Arabidopsis thaliana: one gene and its partners. The protein of the gene in region 1 interacts with the protein of each later gene in a pairwise test. Each region holds a gene or a part of one and is shown on either strand. Other genes may lie near its edges.

What was found.
Region 2: the proteins of AT3G24860 (region 1) and AT1G51200 interact in a two-hybrid assay, tested with the Arabidopsis thaliana proteins (one large-scale study listed by BioGRID).
Region 3: the proteins of AT3G24860 (region 1) and KLCR1 interact in a two-hybrid assay, tested with the Arabidopsis thaliana proteins (one large-scale study listed by BioGRID).

What each region holds. Positions count from the first base shown.
Region 1 is NC_003074.8:9,071,191-9,075,884, forward strand, and holds AT3G24860 (Homeodomain-like superfamily protein), read left to right. Parts: upstream 1-2,432; 5' UTR 2,433-2,451; coding exon 2,452-3,384; 3' UTR 3,385-3,492; downstream 3,493-4,694. Other genes in the region: AT3G24850 (B3 domain protein (DUF313)), read left to right, coding at 1-994; AT3G24870 (Helicase/SANT-associated, DNA binding protein), read right to left, coding at 4,047-4,694.
Region 2 is NC_003070.9:18,982,228-18,988,088, forward strand, and holds AT1G51200 (A20/AN1-like zinc finger family protein), read left to right. Parts: upstream 1-2,053; 5' UTR 2,054-2,327; exon of another isoform or gene 2,328-2,496; 5' UTR 2,497-2,529; intron 2,530-3,460; 5' UTR 3,461-3,462; coding exon 3,463-3,984; 3' UTR 3,985-4,407; downstream 4,408-5,861. Other genes in the region: AT1G51210 (UDP-Glycosyltransferase superfamily protein), read left to right, coding at 5,582-5,861. UniProt on the Arabidopsis thaliana protein: May be involved in environmental stress response.
Region 3 is NC_003075.7:6,653,581-6,660,080, reverse strand, and holds KLCR1 (Tetratricopeptide repeat (TPR)-like superfamily protein), read right to left. Parts: upstream 3,708-6,500; 5' UTR 3,468-3,707; coding exon 2,782-3,467; intron 2,675-2,781; coding exon 2,061-2,674; intron 1,675-2,060; coding exon 1,383-1,674; coding exon of another isoform or gene 1,379-1,382; exon of another isoform or gene 1,286-1,378; coding exon 1,048-1,285; 3' UTR 816-1,047; downstream 1-815.

The DNA of each region.
Region 1 (4,694 bases):
GGTTTTGTTATATGATGAGATACAACGTCGTGGCAAGATCGTATCTGAAGAAGAAAGCCAGAAGAGAATATTTTGTCTCTTCCCGAGAAGAAAAAGATCGTCTTTGGTGAAGAGACAACAAAAGCTTAATGGTGGTTTTATCTCTTTTACTTCTTCATCGCTTATCGATCTTAACCAGTTGCCGACTGATTCTGAGATCGAAGACCCACAAACCTCTGATTCCCAGATGAAAACCCTACAAAACTCTAGTTCTGAACCTTGCACTTCACTCGTACTCTTTGATTACAAAACGGCTGAGTCCGAGAAGATGGAGGCGAAAACCCTACAAAACCCTAGTTCTGAACTTTGTTCATCACTCGTACTCTCTGATTACAAGATGGCTGAGTCGGAAAAGATGGAGACGAAAGACCCACCAAACCCTCTGTCTTTGTGCCTAACGGGGAACACAAGCCGCAAGAGACGTGCTGTGGAAGAGAGGAAACGTACCGGTGGATTCAAGAAGGCAAAGGTTGCTCCTTTTCCAGGGACAGCGAGAGATACGCCTAAGTGGCTTGTCAAGGTGATGAGAGACATGAAAGAAGCCAAAGATGCTAAACTGATCTTTGAGAAGACTCTGTTTGTGACTGATATAAACCCAACACAGAACCGTCTCTCAATGCCGTTCAACAACTTACTCCAAAACGATTTCTTGACGTCTGTGGAGTCCAGAATCATAAAGGAAGACATCAACAACAATAAGAAGATTGGAGTGGGAGCGATTCTCGTGGATCAACGGTCTGTAAAGTGGGGTGTGATGTTGAAAAGATGGGAGCTGAAGAAGGAATCAGGAAAAGGAAGCTGGAACTACAATCTGATTTGTGGGTGGAACGATGTCGTTGAGGCTAACGGATTGAAAGAAGGCGACAACATTAGTGTTTGGTCGTTCAGGTGTCGTGGAGTCCTTTGCTTTGCCATGGAACAGAGTAGCTCTTCTCTTGCTCTCTGTCTCTGCTAAGTATCTTATGTCTGTTGTGAGTCTTGTGACTATAACTTGGTTGATTAACACGCACAGTGATTTTCAGGAGATTCTGAAGATTCTTTTGTCTAGTAATTTCTTGAAAGAGTTAAACTAAAGAAACTTGGGTTCCTCTTTCTTCTTAGTAACTTGTTCCTTCTATTGTTTCAGATCATTATAATCGTATGTACTTAGCACTTTTGACATGAATCTGGTTTGTTGTTTGGTCTACTTTAGTTACCTTTCGATTTCTTGTAATATATCTCAAAGTCTAATTTTGTGTGATGACATTGATCCAATTGTGAAAAGGTTACATGTTATGGTACATTCATGAGAAATGCTCAATACAATCAAAACCAGGGTTGTTTTCTACTAAGTGACAGGTTTCTACTAAATGATCAAATCAGGAACAAAATTTGTTGCCAATGACAGGTTTTGCTACAATTGCTTCCTTCTGCCACTTGAATAAGTACGACGTCCTTTAACACAGGGAATGCATTCGTGCTGGCCAAGACACTGCAGAAACTTCCAAGCTGAAACCTGATTATATTTGAATCTCATATCCGAAGTCTGCATTGCTACTATTACTTCACCCTCAAACCATATATATTACATGTGAGAGACATCACGCTCATCTCTTGTCATATTCCAACTAAATTTTTTGTTCGTTTTGCTCACTTAGCAGCCGTTGATGGAAGAAGGAGGAAATTGCAGTGAAGAGGATGAGAAACGATTAGAGAGAAAATGAGAGGAGGATCTCATCAACGCAGGTTTGCCTAGGCACAACTTGGAAGGCTGGTTGAAAAACAGAGATAACTGCAGTAGTGGCTGACCACATAAGCTGTTTTGCTGTTTGCAGCAAAAGCAAGACCATCTTTATCGAAGCCTCCAGGGAATTTTTCGTCGCGGGAAGAACACAATCCTTTCTAGATGATCTGATACAGAATAACAAAAAAACATATGGTGAAGTGATTAGATCGACTTTAGCTAAGACTATCTGAATATAAACCCAGTAAACATATTTGGGCTTTCTCTCGGGTATAAACTTGCTCACCAAATATGCTGAAGTGATTGATTGTTTCGAAGAATGCTAAGGCATCACCTCAAACTCTTGGTTTGTTTCATGGAGAAAAGTTGCTTCTCCTTGTTCTACTTGTCAGTTGTTAGGAAGAATTAGTCAATTTCTCTTCAATGAATCCCTACAAGTTAGACTATTGTGTTGAATAAGTAAAGGAGTTCTGCATGAGTTTATCTCTTTTGTTCCTCCGATACTTTTTACTTCCTCTGAGTAAAAAAAGAGAAGTAAATTTTTACTTCCTCTAAGTGGGTTGGTCTAGTAAATTTTTGTTGGGCCCAAAATTTAAAAAATCAACAAGAAGACAAAAAAAGCCCAAAGATCCGAGTTGGAGTTAAACTGACAAAATCCGAAGCACCAATTAACATTGTTACACTAAACCATGGCGACGCCTTCGCCGACCTCCTCTCCTCCCTCTGATTCAAACCCTAATTCTGCCGCTACTCCGCCGCATCAGAAACAACCACCCTCTCCTCCTCAACCCACGAATCCATCCTCTCCACCACCGCACACCACCGTCGTAGCTTTAGCCGCATCAACCTCCGCCGTCGCCAGAAAAACCCAACCTGTTCTCTGGACTCAAGACGAGACCCTCCTCTTAATCGAATCATACAAAGAGAAATGGTTCGCAATTGGTCGTGGTCCTCTAAAATCAACTCACTGGGAAGAGATCGCCGTTGCTGCCTCATCTCGTTCCGGCGTTGAACGGACATCTACACAGTGTAGGCATAAGATCGAGAAGATGCGTAAAAGATTCCGATCTGAGAGACAGAGTATGGGACCTATCTCAATTTGGCCTTTCTATAATCAAATGGAGGAATTGGATTCTTCAAATCCTGCTCCGATCTCAGCTCGTCCTCTCACTCGTCTTCCTCCTAATTCGAATAATCGCTACGTAGACGACGAAGAAGAAGATGAAGAAGAGGATAACAATAACTACGAAGAAGAGGAAGAAGAAGATGAGAGACAGAGCAAATCGAGGAGTATTAATTACATATTGAGAAGACCTGGAACTGTTAACAGATTTGCTGGAGTTGGTGGAGGATTGTTGTCATGGGGACAAAAAGAGAGATCATCGAAGAGGAAGAGGAACGATGGAGACGGTGGTGAGAGGCGGAGGAAAGGAATGCGAGCCGTTGCAGCGGAGATTAGGGCGTTTGCTGAGAGAGTAATGGTAATGGAGAAGAAGAAGATTGAGTTTGCTAAAGAGACTGTGAGACTTCGTAAGGAAATGGAGATTCGTAGAATCAATTTGATTCAGAGTTCTCAAACTCAGCTTCTTCAATTTATCAACAATGCTTTTGATTCTTTCTAACGTAGAGATTTAGTCATTGTTGCTTTTAGATTTGTAACATAGGTAACGGATTTGAAGAAATGCACTATGTAAGCTAATGTTTATGGGAGTGAAGTGAACTTTTTTTTTAACCATAAAAGAACAATGATACATTCATCAAATTAACCTAAACCTACAAGAGAATAAGTTAGAGGAAAAGGTTAAAAAAGGGCCCTAAGTATATGCCACAAGGATGGAGGAGTAGAGACTTCTATACAAAACATTATAAACTGTTTCTACTCTCTCCCAAACCAAAAGATGGGAAGAAGAAGAGACTACTTCTCTATGATGCAAGTGGGTAATTTACATTATGATATACCTTCTTCTCTTTGTGTTCATCAAAAGAGGCAAAAAGACCTGCATGAATTTTATCCTATCCACCAACTTCTTCCCTATTGATCTCCCTCTGGCCTTACCAAATCTGCAAACTCCACAATCTGTAGAGTTTGTTATGTTATACTCTCAGCCAAATCCAAAGACCACCAGCAGCTTCAAGATGTTAATGCCAAAAAGAGACCCGACTCTGAAGGTGGAGGACACAAACCAGTTTGGGTTCCTGTACAGGGTTGTTGTCGGTAAGGGCCAGCGTTAAGCTTTGCAGGATCTACAGCTACTCAAGGTTCTAGGTTCATCTGTCATGCCTCTCATTCCACTTTTGTATCAGGAGGCTTGGAAGATGATAATTCTTGTGCTTCTTCTAAATGAGGCTGCTCCTCAGAAGCAAGGTGTTTCTGATTTTGTACAGTCGGCTTCTCTGGCAATTTCGGTCTCTTTTCTTCTGAAGGTAGAGACTGTTGTTGTCTCTGTGTAACGCCCTTGATCCCGTGCTTTTGAGCTAGTCCTTGGTTCGGTGTTGATACTGGATCATTTCCTGCTGAATCTGTATTGGAATTGTTTACTACTTTCGAAGCAGTGCTTTGCACAGAAGCAACACAAGATGGAGGTTCCAAAGCAGGCACCGCAGTAGAACCAACTGCTTTTATGTTTTTCAAATCATTACTCGCTTGAGGCATACCCTTGGTCGTACCCATACTAGCAGTTTGGGTGGTATTGGTTACAGACTGTGGAACACGTGGCATACATTCAGCTTGGGACTTCTTTGATAACTCAGAGTTCCCTAGATGATTATGTTGAACAACTCTCTGAGCTGTTGATTGCACTTGATTGCGCTGCTTTTGGTGTATCAACAAATGCTGATGGTTAGAAGGTGCAACCGCTGGTGCAATTGACAGGCTAGAGGTGGATAAAATATTACATGGGGTCGCAGGTGAGCTCTGGCCTTGGATGCTATT
Region 2 (5,861 bases), on another chromosome or scaffold:
AAACCCAAAAGTATGTATTTTCTCTGATTTTTGTAGTGCTTACAATTAATGATAATGTTACAAGTACTAGACTTTACAAATCTAAGAGACACAAGGGAAGTTTTAGCATTTTTGATCGATTCAATTGAAGTACACGGATATGCAGGTACATATTATGTGTATAATGTAAGAATAGTCTTTGTTGTTGAGTTGCACACAAAAAAAAAAGTCTTGGTTGTTGACTTTCAGAAAGAAAGTAAAGTTAATAATTGATATTTTTTAAAGAGTTGATCATCCGTAGGAGAAATAATTAGTGGTAATTTAAAAATATCTCTTATTATTTACATTAGGAAACCATACTTTGATTATCCTTAGACATGTCTTTATAAAACTCGCATGTTAGATCAGCTTACAATTGTTTAGTATACAACTCTTCAGAACAAAGAGACTCTTGTATTGTGACATTTAAACAAAAATACTTGATTTTTGGAATGATTACCGTCTCAAAATAGTTAGATAATTTTTTTGCTAAAATGATTGCTAAGACTTTAAAATAAAATAAACATAAACTAGAGAAGTGAAACTGTAGTTTTATATAGTTTATAACTATATACAACCGTATATATTTCTCATAGATGTGATCCATGAGATTGTATATGCTCCATTGTAGATACTTGAACTAATAAGAACCATTCTTTTATTAATAATTTTGTTGTCTAACAATTGCTTAAATCTCTGTCAAATTTATAGCCTCTTATCTAGAAAAATGAGATCATAGATATTCATAGTAGGATGTGAGTGGCTCCAATATGTCTTTGAAGAAGTTGTTTAGTGGTAGGAGAAAAATTATTTCAAGACTCTGACTTCATTTCATGAATTATCTATTATTCATATAATACAATTGCTTATGAGTTATCTTGCATCCATTAAAATTTGCTAAACATAGCTAGATCTTCTTGTCGGATACTTCTTCGAGAAAGAATCTTGTTTAATTGGCAATTATCACCAAAATTATATAAGTGGTTGTTGATACACAATCCATTATCAATAACACTAATGATCACATAATCTGTAATTTTTCATTACATTACTCAAAAAAATTCTATTCAAATTTGTAGAAATCTCACAAAAATATAATTTAATAGCAATGTATGGATGATTTTAATTCTCAGTTTACATAAGGAATGAAATTATATATTATGAGTTACATATATATTGTATGCTATGTATCTCTCTAGCACAAAATTAGATTCATAACATATACTATCACCTATTAACATTAATTTATATGTCATACTACATAAATTAATATGCGAAATTATGGATGATGCACAAAACACATTAGTAAGAAAATAAAAATCCCTAAAAAAGTAAGAAGAATCTTTCTTTAATCAAACGAGTCCGAATTTAGGAGAAGTGAACGAATTATAAGGGTTGTCCTGTTGAAACGACTAGTATGAACAAGAGGCGGACCAAACGACATATAAAACGAGCTGACTAATATTGGACAAGCTCGATGGGTTTGAGGACGAGCTAATAGTGCACTCTCTCTATGTCAACATAAAGTGTAGATCTTGTGACAAGACTTGCTATTTTGTATTTATAAGAACCAAGATAGGACATATGTCAAAGTAAATTGGTGGATCTACCTTCCGACCTATTGACATGGTTTCGGCTTTTTATAGACGCTAACTCATCGATTAGGTTTTCTTCCAAACGAATTTTAAGTTGAAAATAGACCCAATTACCTTAATTATTATTGGACATTGTCCATTCCTTGAGTTTATTCCAATTAAAACCTGAATTGGAGGAAGCCCAATTCTTCCCTCAACAACTATGTTACCCATCTCCTCTTAATATATAAATTTTTAAAATATAAAAGATTATTATTAATTAAGAAGTTTACAAACACTTGTCAAACAATAACCATAATAAAACTGGAAAAAGAATATATTATATTCTAGATATTAACCAAAAAGCTTAATATCATTTTCAAACTATTGGTAATTAACTAATTGTTCTTGAAAAATGTAGTGTCTAATTCCGTTTCAAAAAAGCGAGTTAACATTTGGAAGCCTTAACTCTTTTTTTCAAAAAAGTAAAATGAATTGAAATTTGAAATGAGTAAAAAAATCAAAAGCAGAGCCAATAAGATACGTACACGTCATAGCCGACTCTAGCACAAACGGTGTGAAACGAAAATATAAACGTCGCTACAAAAAAAATCGTCGAGACAAACCAAAAAAAAGCCTAAAAAGCCGACCTTTTTTCTTTCTTTCTCTCCTCTACCTCTCAGCTTCTGCTGGATCTCTCCAGCAGACACGATCTTGTTCGGAGAGATTCGTAGGGTAAAGGGTTTCTCTTCTTCTCTATTTTGCTTTCACCTTTATAATCTTTTCTGGGTCTCGATTTTGTTTTCTAATTTCATTTCCATTTCGATTCGATTCCTCCTTTGTGTGGGAGGCCTTTGTTCGGTCAACTTATGTGTTCTGTTTTTGTCTCTTTTTTATTGATTAGGGACCGATCTATCAAGGCTTCAAGGGCAAACAGGTGAATTAGCTTTTGGGATTTGGTTTTATTTAGGGTTCATTTGTAAGCTGTTGATGTGAATTCTTTTTTATGGTTCTCGATTGTTTAATGATTTGATTGTTTGGTTATATTTGCATGTGGGTTTTGTGTGTGTTTGGAAATTTGAATGAATTGATGTGAAAAGTTGTAACTCTTGTTTTTGTTGATTTAAAAGGCTAAGTTTTGAAAATTTTCATTTCTGTGGAGAGAGGTAGTGTTGGATATGAGTGATATTAGCTATGTGGGTTTTGTATGCTTTTGAATTTTGAAATGAATTGCTATGAAAAGTTGTAACCTAAGAAAGGTAGTGTTAGATGGAAATTAGATTAGTATGTGAGTTTTGCATGTTTTAGAAGCTTGAAATGAATTGCTTTGAAAGTTTATAGCTTTACGCTGATATAAGAGGCTAATTTCTAAGTAGTGTTGGATAGAAATAAGATTAGCTGCTCTAATGTTTTTAAAATGATTCATTTATGATTCTAATTTGCCTAATGAATGTGGTACTAGGTGCTAGGTAACCTAGACACTTCTGTTTGGTTGGGTAGCTTATTGTTAGAAAACAGGTCAGCAAGATTTGTTTGTCTGTTTCAGGTTCTAGAGTTAGCAGAGAAATGGCTCTAGGCTTGCTTTTGTTCTCTTCTTTCTATTTAGTTAAAGATCCTGAATTATAGGAAGGTGCTTATAGGTAGTGTGGTTATAAACTATGAAGATCATGTGTAAGGTATCCAGATAAGTTATTTCATGAAAAGAATTGTTCATCTGCTTATTTTCATGTGTATGTTTTGCACTGATTTTCTAAGGCAACTGATGATACTGATTGGGTTTAAATGTACTCATCATCGTGAATCTTCTGCGAATTTTTGTTTTATTTTTCCATGTCACTGAGACTGAAGATGGCTGATTTTAAATGTAGAAATGGACCACGACAAGACAGGATGCCAAAGCCCACCTGAAGGTCCCAAGCTATGTACTAACAACTGCGGTTTCTTTGGAAGCGCTGCCACAATGAACATGTGTTCTAAGTGTCACAAGGATATGTTGTTCCAACAGGAGCAGGGCGCTAAGTTTGCATCTGCAGTGTCTGGAACATCGTCATCCAGCAACATCATAAAGGAAACCTTTACCGCTGCGTTGGTCGATATTGAAACCAAATCCGTTGAGCCGATGACTGTTTCTGTACAGCCATCCTCTGTCCAAGTCGTTGCAGAGGTAGTAGCACCAGAAGAAGCTGCGAAACCAAAGGGACCAAGCCGATGTACTACTTGCAATAAGCGGGTTGGCCTGACTGGATTCAAATGTCGCTGTGGGAGCCTCTTCTGCGGAACACACCGCTATGCAGACGTACATGACTGCTCCTTCAATTACCATGCTGCTGCGCAAGAGGCGATAGCTAAGGCAAACCCGGTTGTGAAAGCAGAGAAGCTTGACAAAATCTGAAAATCTAAGTAAACTTCTCTGGTTTCATCAGGTGGCCTGGTGTTTCCTTCTCCTGTCTGTGTCTGGTTCAAGTATTCTCATGTTAAAAAGGTTTTATATAAGGTCGAATGAAAGCGTGCTTGATCTTTAGCGTCTTCCATCTCTCTGTGGTGTGGAACTTTCTATTATCTGTGTTTGCAAGCAGAGAAACGTGCTCTTAAAAAAAATGCTTTGTGTGTTTATCTTTCTACTATTTTTGAGCACTGTGTTATTGTTTCCTGTTTGGTCTGTATCATATTGAGATTGTCTCTGTAGCTACATGAAGCTTATTTAAAAAGGCCTGTGTTTGTCCTTCAATCAGTGATTCCTTTCAATTTCTCTGGTTGGTGAGTTATGTAACTTTGCAAAGTCATGAGCTTACTATATATGTGTATATATGGGTCGATAAACACTGAAGAGCTCGCTTTTTCCTGTTCTGAGTACGAACGCCCATAACCATAGAAGAAGGAGATGATCGTAAGGAGACAAAAGCTCCAAAGGGTGTCGTCCTCACTTGCTTTACAACATGTCCTATGTGAAAAACCGACGTCGTATCAAGTTGCGTAAGCATCGTATCAACTTGCTCTAAACGGCATCGTAGGAGTTGCTTTAAACGTCACCATACTATATACTAGTTCCTGAGGACATCGTATAAAAATGTTTGGAACTGTTTGGTTCATTGCCTACACAACAAACGGCGTTTTATCTGATTTTACCGGTTTTTTGATGAGTCATCACTGATAGTGATAACTGATGCGCTTTTGCTTCACCGCAACTCCTTCTCAACCGCAACCATTTCACTAGAGACACATGTAACTATCTCAACCGCAAGATTTGGCAAACAATCAAGCGTACGTTCGTTTTCCTCATAAACCCCAGCACCGCATCTTCTACGTACTTATTCCGCTTTCAGTTTTGTTTGATTTCACCAAAATACCAAACAATATTTTTTTTTGTTTTGTTAAAGAACAACAAAAACAAAAATTAAAATAATAATAAATAATAACAAAATAATAGTAATAATTAACAATAAAATTTACTATTTTTTCTTTACTTTTGTTTGATCTCATCATCAAATATAAATACAAGAAATTTTATGATTTTCCATATATTTTTACTTTTTCTAATTGAAGTTTTTCTTCAAATTAATTAAAATATATAGAATATCTAAATAATATATTATTAAACTTACCAATTATTATTTCTTTTTTAATTAGAACAAAATGTCATTGTTAAATATAGATGAAAATCAACTCTCATGAATCATTATTTTGCATTTAATTTTTGTTTCTAGTTTTACGTAGATTTCTTTCTATTTAGTTTAGACTTTAGAGGATACAACTAACTTGATATTTTTTTCGCGTTTTGGATCCAAATTGAAACTATACACATGGCATACATAATCTCATCAATTTAAGTATATAACACACTTCAAAAAAAGATAAAAAAAATTAGACTCGTGTTTTTTTTTTGGTCAACAAAAAATCTAGACATATAAAATGCCAATGCACATATCATCGTACATTAACACACACATCATTCTATAATATCACCACCGAGCGTAAACAACAACCGAGAAATGAACAGAGCAATGCCGCAGCCGCGACCGGAAACTATACGTGGCAGTTTAAAACCTCACATCATGGTGTTTCCATATCCAGCACAAGGCCACTTGCTTCCTCTTCTCGACTTAACCCATCAACTCTGTCTTCGTGGCCTCACAGTCTCCATCATCGTCACTCCTAAAAACCTTCCTTACCTCTCTCCTCTTCTCTCCGCTCATCCATCCGCTGTTTCCGTCGTCACTTTACCTTTCCCTCACCATCCTTTAATCCCTTCCGGGGTTGAAAACGTTAAAG
Region 3 (6,500 bases), on another chromosome or scaffold:
ATTTACGATAAAAATACAATTTTACGAAAAGTTGCGATAAAAAGACACTAATGAAAAAAAGGACCGTCAATATTAACCAAAAATAAAGATAAAAAGACACGAATGTAAAAAAAAAAAAACCGTAAATATTCTAATCGACACAACTGTTTACGATAAAAAGATATGAATGAAAAAAAAGTAACCGTCAATATTTTAACAAACACAACTGTTTACGATGAAAATCAGTTTTACGAGAAGTTGCGATAAAAAGACATTAACGAAAAAAATAACTTTCAATGTTAACCAAAAGTTACGATAAAAATATACGAATGTAAAAAAAGTAACCGTCAATCTTTTAACAGACAACTATTTATGATGAAAAGACACGAATGTAGAAAGTAACTGTTAATATTTTAATAGACACAACTGTTTATGATGAAAAGACACGGTTGTAAAAAAAATAATCGTCAATATTTTAACAGACACAACTGTTTATGATGAAAAAATACGAATGTAATAAAGTAACCATCAATATTTTAACAGACACAACTGTTTATGATTAAAAAAATACGAATGTAATAAAGTAACCATCAATATTTTAACAGACACAACTGTTTTCGATGAAAAGACACGATTGTAAAAAAATACCCCCAATATTTTAACAGATACAACTGTTTACGATAAAAAGACAAGACATGAATGCACAAAATATTAAAGGATACATCCAATAAATAGTTTTCAAAATGCATTTAGTGATAGATTTTATCACATTTTAGTATTTTACTTCATATTTGTACAAAATATCACGTAGAACAAACATTCACGAGAAAATATAATTATCAGAAGAAGAAAAAAGTGATTGAATTAAAGAAATTTCAAACTCAAACAAACAGCTCACCATCTTGGCAGTATTTCACCAAACTCAAATAAAAACACTATACATGAAATTAATTCATCAACCTCAGATTATGATACAGAAAATAGATCAGATAAAAAATATAACAATAACAATAAAATAAAATATTGAATATATATGTGGATGATTTATTTTATATGATAATTTTTTCCTCAGAACTTGAAACCGAGGCTGGGCCATTTCTTAGCAGAAGACTCTTTCTTCGGAGGTCTTGCATTTGGATCAATCAGATTCTGGAGCGACTTGGCTTTGTAGTTCCGCGACCGCCCAGCTTCCTTCAAAAGCTCGGCCAAACGTTTCTTCTCGTCTTCAAAATCCGGATTCGCAGTCCCGAGCTTTTCCTCTCTCAGCTTCAGAACCTGCTCTAATATCTCAATCGCATCCTCTATCCTGCAAATTACATAGCCATCACGAAGAAAGACTTTAATGTTTCATTAAGGATGTCTGATCTAATTACATAGTCAGATAGTTTTCTTTAGGACTTTACCTTCCCATAGCGTCATAGGTAGCAGCTAGATTGCTATAAACACCGAGAGTGTCCTGATCGCACGGTCCACGTTCTTGTTCAAGAATACCTCTTGCTTCTTCAAACAGCTCACCCGCTTCATCAATCTTGAAAAGCTGAACGCAGGCTAGTCCCATCTGGTTTAATACAACACCGAAGAAGGCAGATTTCTCACCTGCTGCCCGTAGCTTTGTCACAGCGCTCTCAAACGCGTTTCTTGCGTCCTCGTACCTCCCCACTGTGTAATACATAACTCCCATCCGTGCCTCTAACCCTGCAAATATTTACATACAAAGCAAAACAGATGTAAAGGAAGCTTGACGAGAAGATTGACAATGTCATGCTAAAGACTCGAATTCTTGTACGATCACAATCTACTTCCCTAAAAATACCTCAGATAAGTAATTAGATCTCTTATTTCTAGAATTCTTCGACAATATCACTAACACACAATTACAAATTAGCGTATTGGCTAACTCTAAAACCGGTAGATTCAGAGCAGCAAAACGAGTAAAGTTACTATAAGCGACTTTTCCTTACATGATTAACAATACAAAAATCAGTACTTTACATACAATTCGAGACCAAAATCGCACAATTTCAATACACTGCATAGCAATCCAGCTAAAGGAACATTCATGGTATGGACAAAAAATTTACCTGCAATGGCGCTCTGCTGTCCTGGCTTATCCTCAAGCAATTTCATAGACTTCTGAAGTAGCTTCAATGCTTCCTCAGGTTCATCTACAGACTCATAAATAGCAGAAATCTCAGTTAATCCACCAGCAATCTCCTCCACAGTTGTCCCAGGCACCGGCTTATTGTATATCCTCAACGCATTCTCACAGTAAGACTTAGACTCACGAAGTTTCCCTGTTCTATGGTAAAGCTCAGCCAATCTAACAAACACTGACGCAACCGTCGGATGAGTCTCTCCTTTAGAAGCCTTAAACACAGTAAGAGCCTTCTGATATGAAAACACAGCTTCATCAAACCGGCACAGCGACATGTAAATATTCCCAATACTAACATCAATCGATGCAACCTCAGATTCTTGTCCACTCGCAATCATAGCCATACTAGCAAGAACAAGATGCTCAAGAGCGTTTTCATAATCTCCTTTAGCCTCGCAGATAATTGCCATCAATCTCCTATCAGCTGCTTCCTCCAGTGAAGCAGGTTCACTATGCGCTCGGTGAATCTCTAGAGTCTTCTTGCATAACTCTTCCGCTTTATTGAACTGCATTGCTTGAACATATGCTTCTGCTAAGTACCTGAAAATTATCAGAGACTTCAGAAACTTAGATCTAACCTATATAGTAACTTTTAGCAAACGTAATCTAAGAGTTTAATTAACCATTAAATGCTTAGTTAAGAGAACCTGCAAGTTTCACCAACTCGTGGATCAGTATCACCCAAAGTCTGGATCTGGATCTTAAGACCTTCTTCATAACAAGCAATAGATCTATCAATCTGACCAAGCATAGACAACGTATCACCAAGTTGCATATGACCAGAAAACGCAGCGAGAGAGTGGTCAGGGCCACGAGTCGGATCAGGGACTTGAATAGCTCGTTCAAGAGGTGGTACAGCTTCATCAAATCGGCCGAGACTACAGTAAATAGCAGCGAGAACATGAAGGCTCATAGCGAGATCAAGAACAGGTCCACCATCGCTACCACCGGGAATAGGCGGAGCAACGGCGGCGCAACATCTCTCAAAGGACTTAGTTGCTCGGATCGCGTAATCTAATGCTTTGTTAGGACCTTCACCAGAAGCAATAGCGTCACGAGCTAATTTTAGAAGGAAAGGACCGAGATCTGGATTATCTAGAGATGGATCGTCGACGTCGATTACGGCTGCGGTGGAGGAGGATACGGTTGGGGAATCTTTTTTGCCGGTGGATCTATTTGGTGATGGTTTGGATCGAGATGGTGTAGAGGAAGGGGTTTTCTTCATCGGAGTTCGCGGCGGGTTTGAGAGAGGTTGCGTGTCTGGTACGGCTACACGTAGCGGCGGTGTATCGGAAGGAGTTTTGACTGAGACGAGACCTGGCATTGCTGGCATGAATGTGTCTCTCTGTGGGAAGTGGGAGAGAGAGAGAGAGTTATGGCGGATTTGGTTTTGGATCGGACTTTTGAGATCCAAGTGGAGAAGGAGACGAGTCAGTCAGTGAAAGAGGTAAGGGTAGTTTCGTAATTAAGTTTTAGATTGGAGGAGATAACGGTCATGTTGTGTTGGAAAATATTGGTGATAGATTATTAAATAAAAAAACTTTTCTTACACACAAAAAAAACAAACTAAAATAGATTTTGTACTTAGTGACGACAAGTGATAGATAGATTTTACAAGATAGATAAGTTTGCATGACAAGATTTGTACTGTTCTGAATCAGAATTTCTGATGAATTGTTCTCAATCTAAAATTTTATGAACTCACAAATTTAGATAGTAAATTAAATTAGAGAAGAGAGTTAAAAAAAGTAATGCAATCTAAGTTTTCATTTTACAATAAATTGAATATAAATCTTTTTTATGATGTGTATATTGAAATGGAGATAGTTGAGCATTTATCCACTTTTTACCATATGGTTTATGGTTTCAGTATTTAGAATGTAGGTTTTTTTTTTTTCTTTTTTTCCAACAAACAGAATTTATTTATATGAGTAAATCTTTACAAAGAGAGTTTTTGAGCCAAAGTGGCTGATAACCAGAATTCGATTGAAACTTGTAACACGAATAAAGTGGAGAAGCTAAGAGGTGAGCAGTATTATTACAGAGTCTATTTGTGAAAGTGAAAACCACAGTAGAAAATCTTGATGCCCAAAAATCCACATCTCGGAGAAGACTGGTTATTTCACATCTAGAAATTGCACCATTAATTGCCTTGATAAGGATCTCACAATCACCTTCGAACTGAACACACTTATACCCTCGTACCCATGCTTGTTGCATTGCGATTAATAACGCTTTTGTCTCAGCTTCCAAAGCAGTGGTACCATTTTAGACTATTGATGATCCCCAAGCCTTCGCTAATCCTGCATGATCACGTATGATCCACCCTCCCGTACTCTGAGTATTATTACCCGTGAAACCCGCATCGAAGTTGCACTTTACTAAAGGAAAGACCGGTTTCTTCCACCGCACGTTTGCCCTGTGTGATGATCGTGTTAAAACGGAAGCGTCCTCTCTTCGGTTCACACTTTGTAACCATTCATTGACTTCTGCTTCAGTTTGTGTCACAACCCTTGAGCAACTTTCACTGAACTTATTAAACACAAGATTATTGCGTGCTTTCCATAATCTCCATATGAGCCAAAATGGGGCCAACCTTTGCTCTGTATTCAGAGTATTGTTTGAAAAAGAATTGATAAGGAAAGAAATATTCTCCTCTGTGTCTTGAGAGAAAGTATGACCCGGTAACCAAGGGAAGTTTGATAGACCCCAAATTGACGCAGCATAAGGACACGTAAATAAAACATGGTTTATCGTCTCTTCTTCAGTTGGGCATCTGGGGCAGTGTGGATCGATGTCCATTCCTCGAGTGAGAAGTCGCGAGCGTGTTGGTAATGCTTTTGAGATTGTACGCCAAAGCATGTACTTGATTTTTGGAATAATAGGGAGTTTCCAAAGCTTGTTCTTAATTTCCACTGAACCATGAGGCACCACTGGTCTAACCTAAATATTCGTTGGGTCATTAAAGAGAAACCAGTACCCGGACTTAACTGTATAATCCCCAGAAGAAGAGTAGTTCCAAACTAGCTTATCTTGATGCACAATCCTGGAAAGATGATGGTTCATAACAAAACGGTGGTCGTCGGGACTAACAAGCTGAGAAATGAGATGTGCGTTCCAATACCTATACGAACCCTGAGTTGAGATTAACGTATCCACCGTGATATCCAACGTAGGAGTGACGACGTTGAGAGGTCGTGGAGGGTGCGATGCAATAAAATTATCTTGACTGATTCAAACGGTTTTGCCATCTCCGACAATGAATCTGCTTCCTTTTTTAATTACATCTAAACCCGCAAGCATAGAAGTCCATCCGTAAGATTGATATCTCTGCCTTTTAGCGTCCAGAATAGAGTCTTCTCTAAAGTATCTTGCTTTCATTATTCGGGCAAATAAAGAATTTGGGTTGTTAATCATCCGCCATACTTGTTTTGCAAGTAAAGCGTCATTGAATTTAGCCAAATCTCTAAACCCTAAACCACCTTCCTTTTTCGAGTATTGTAATCTCTTCCAAGCTATCCATGGTATTTCTCTTTTTTTTGCATTCTTTTCCCACCAGAAATTCATTAAAAGAGCTTCAATCTCCGAAACGATATTCAATGGTAATTTGAAGCAAGACATTGCATACACCGGCATCGACATCGCCACTGATTTTAACATAATTTCTTTTCCTGCCGGTGATAAATATTTCGCACTCCAACTGGATGTTCGTTTCTTTACTCTTTCAATGATATAGTTGAACATGTCTCGTTTTTTCCGCCCAAATTGCTCCGGGAGCCCAAGATATTTCCCACCTCCACCATGACTTTGTATACCAAGAATGTTTTTGAGACGATTTTGAGTGGTGCCATGTACTCGTGAACCAAACGTTATCATTGATTTGGACATATTAATTTTTTGGCCCGAATAGTACTCATAAACATCAAAGACATCCTTTAAAGCTTGGCAGTTTCGGACATTAGATTGGCAGAAAAAAAGAGAGTCATCCGCAAATTGTAGATGAGTAACACCAGGAACACCATTACCAATTCGGATACCTCGAATATCCCCTTCCGCTACTCTGTTTTTAATAAGATGGTTGAGTATATCAGCACATAGAATGAAGAGATATGGAGATAAGGGATCTCCTTGTCTTATTCCACGTTGTGGTTGAATTGTGCCATGAGGTATGCCATTCACTAAAACTGAGTAGTTGACTGATTTCACTGCTCCCATTATCCATTTGATCCATGTCTCGCTGAAACCAAATAGTCTCATCGTTGTCTCCAAAAAATTCCACTCCACTCTATCATACGCCTTACTCACATCTGTCTTAACCGCCATATAGGATTGAGAGACTCGTTTCCTTGTTTTCAGAGAGTGCATC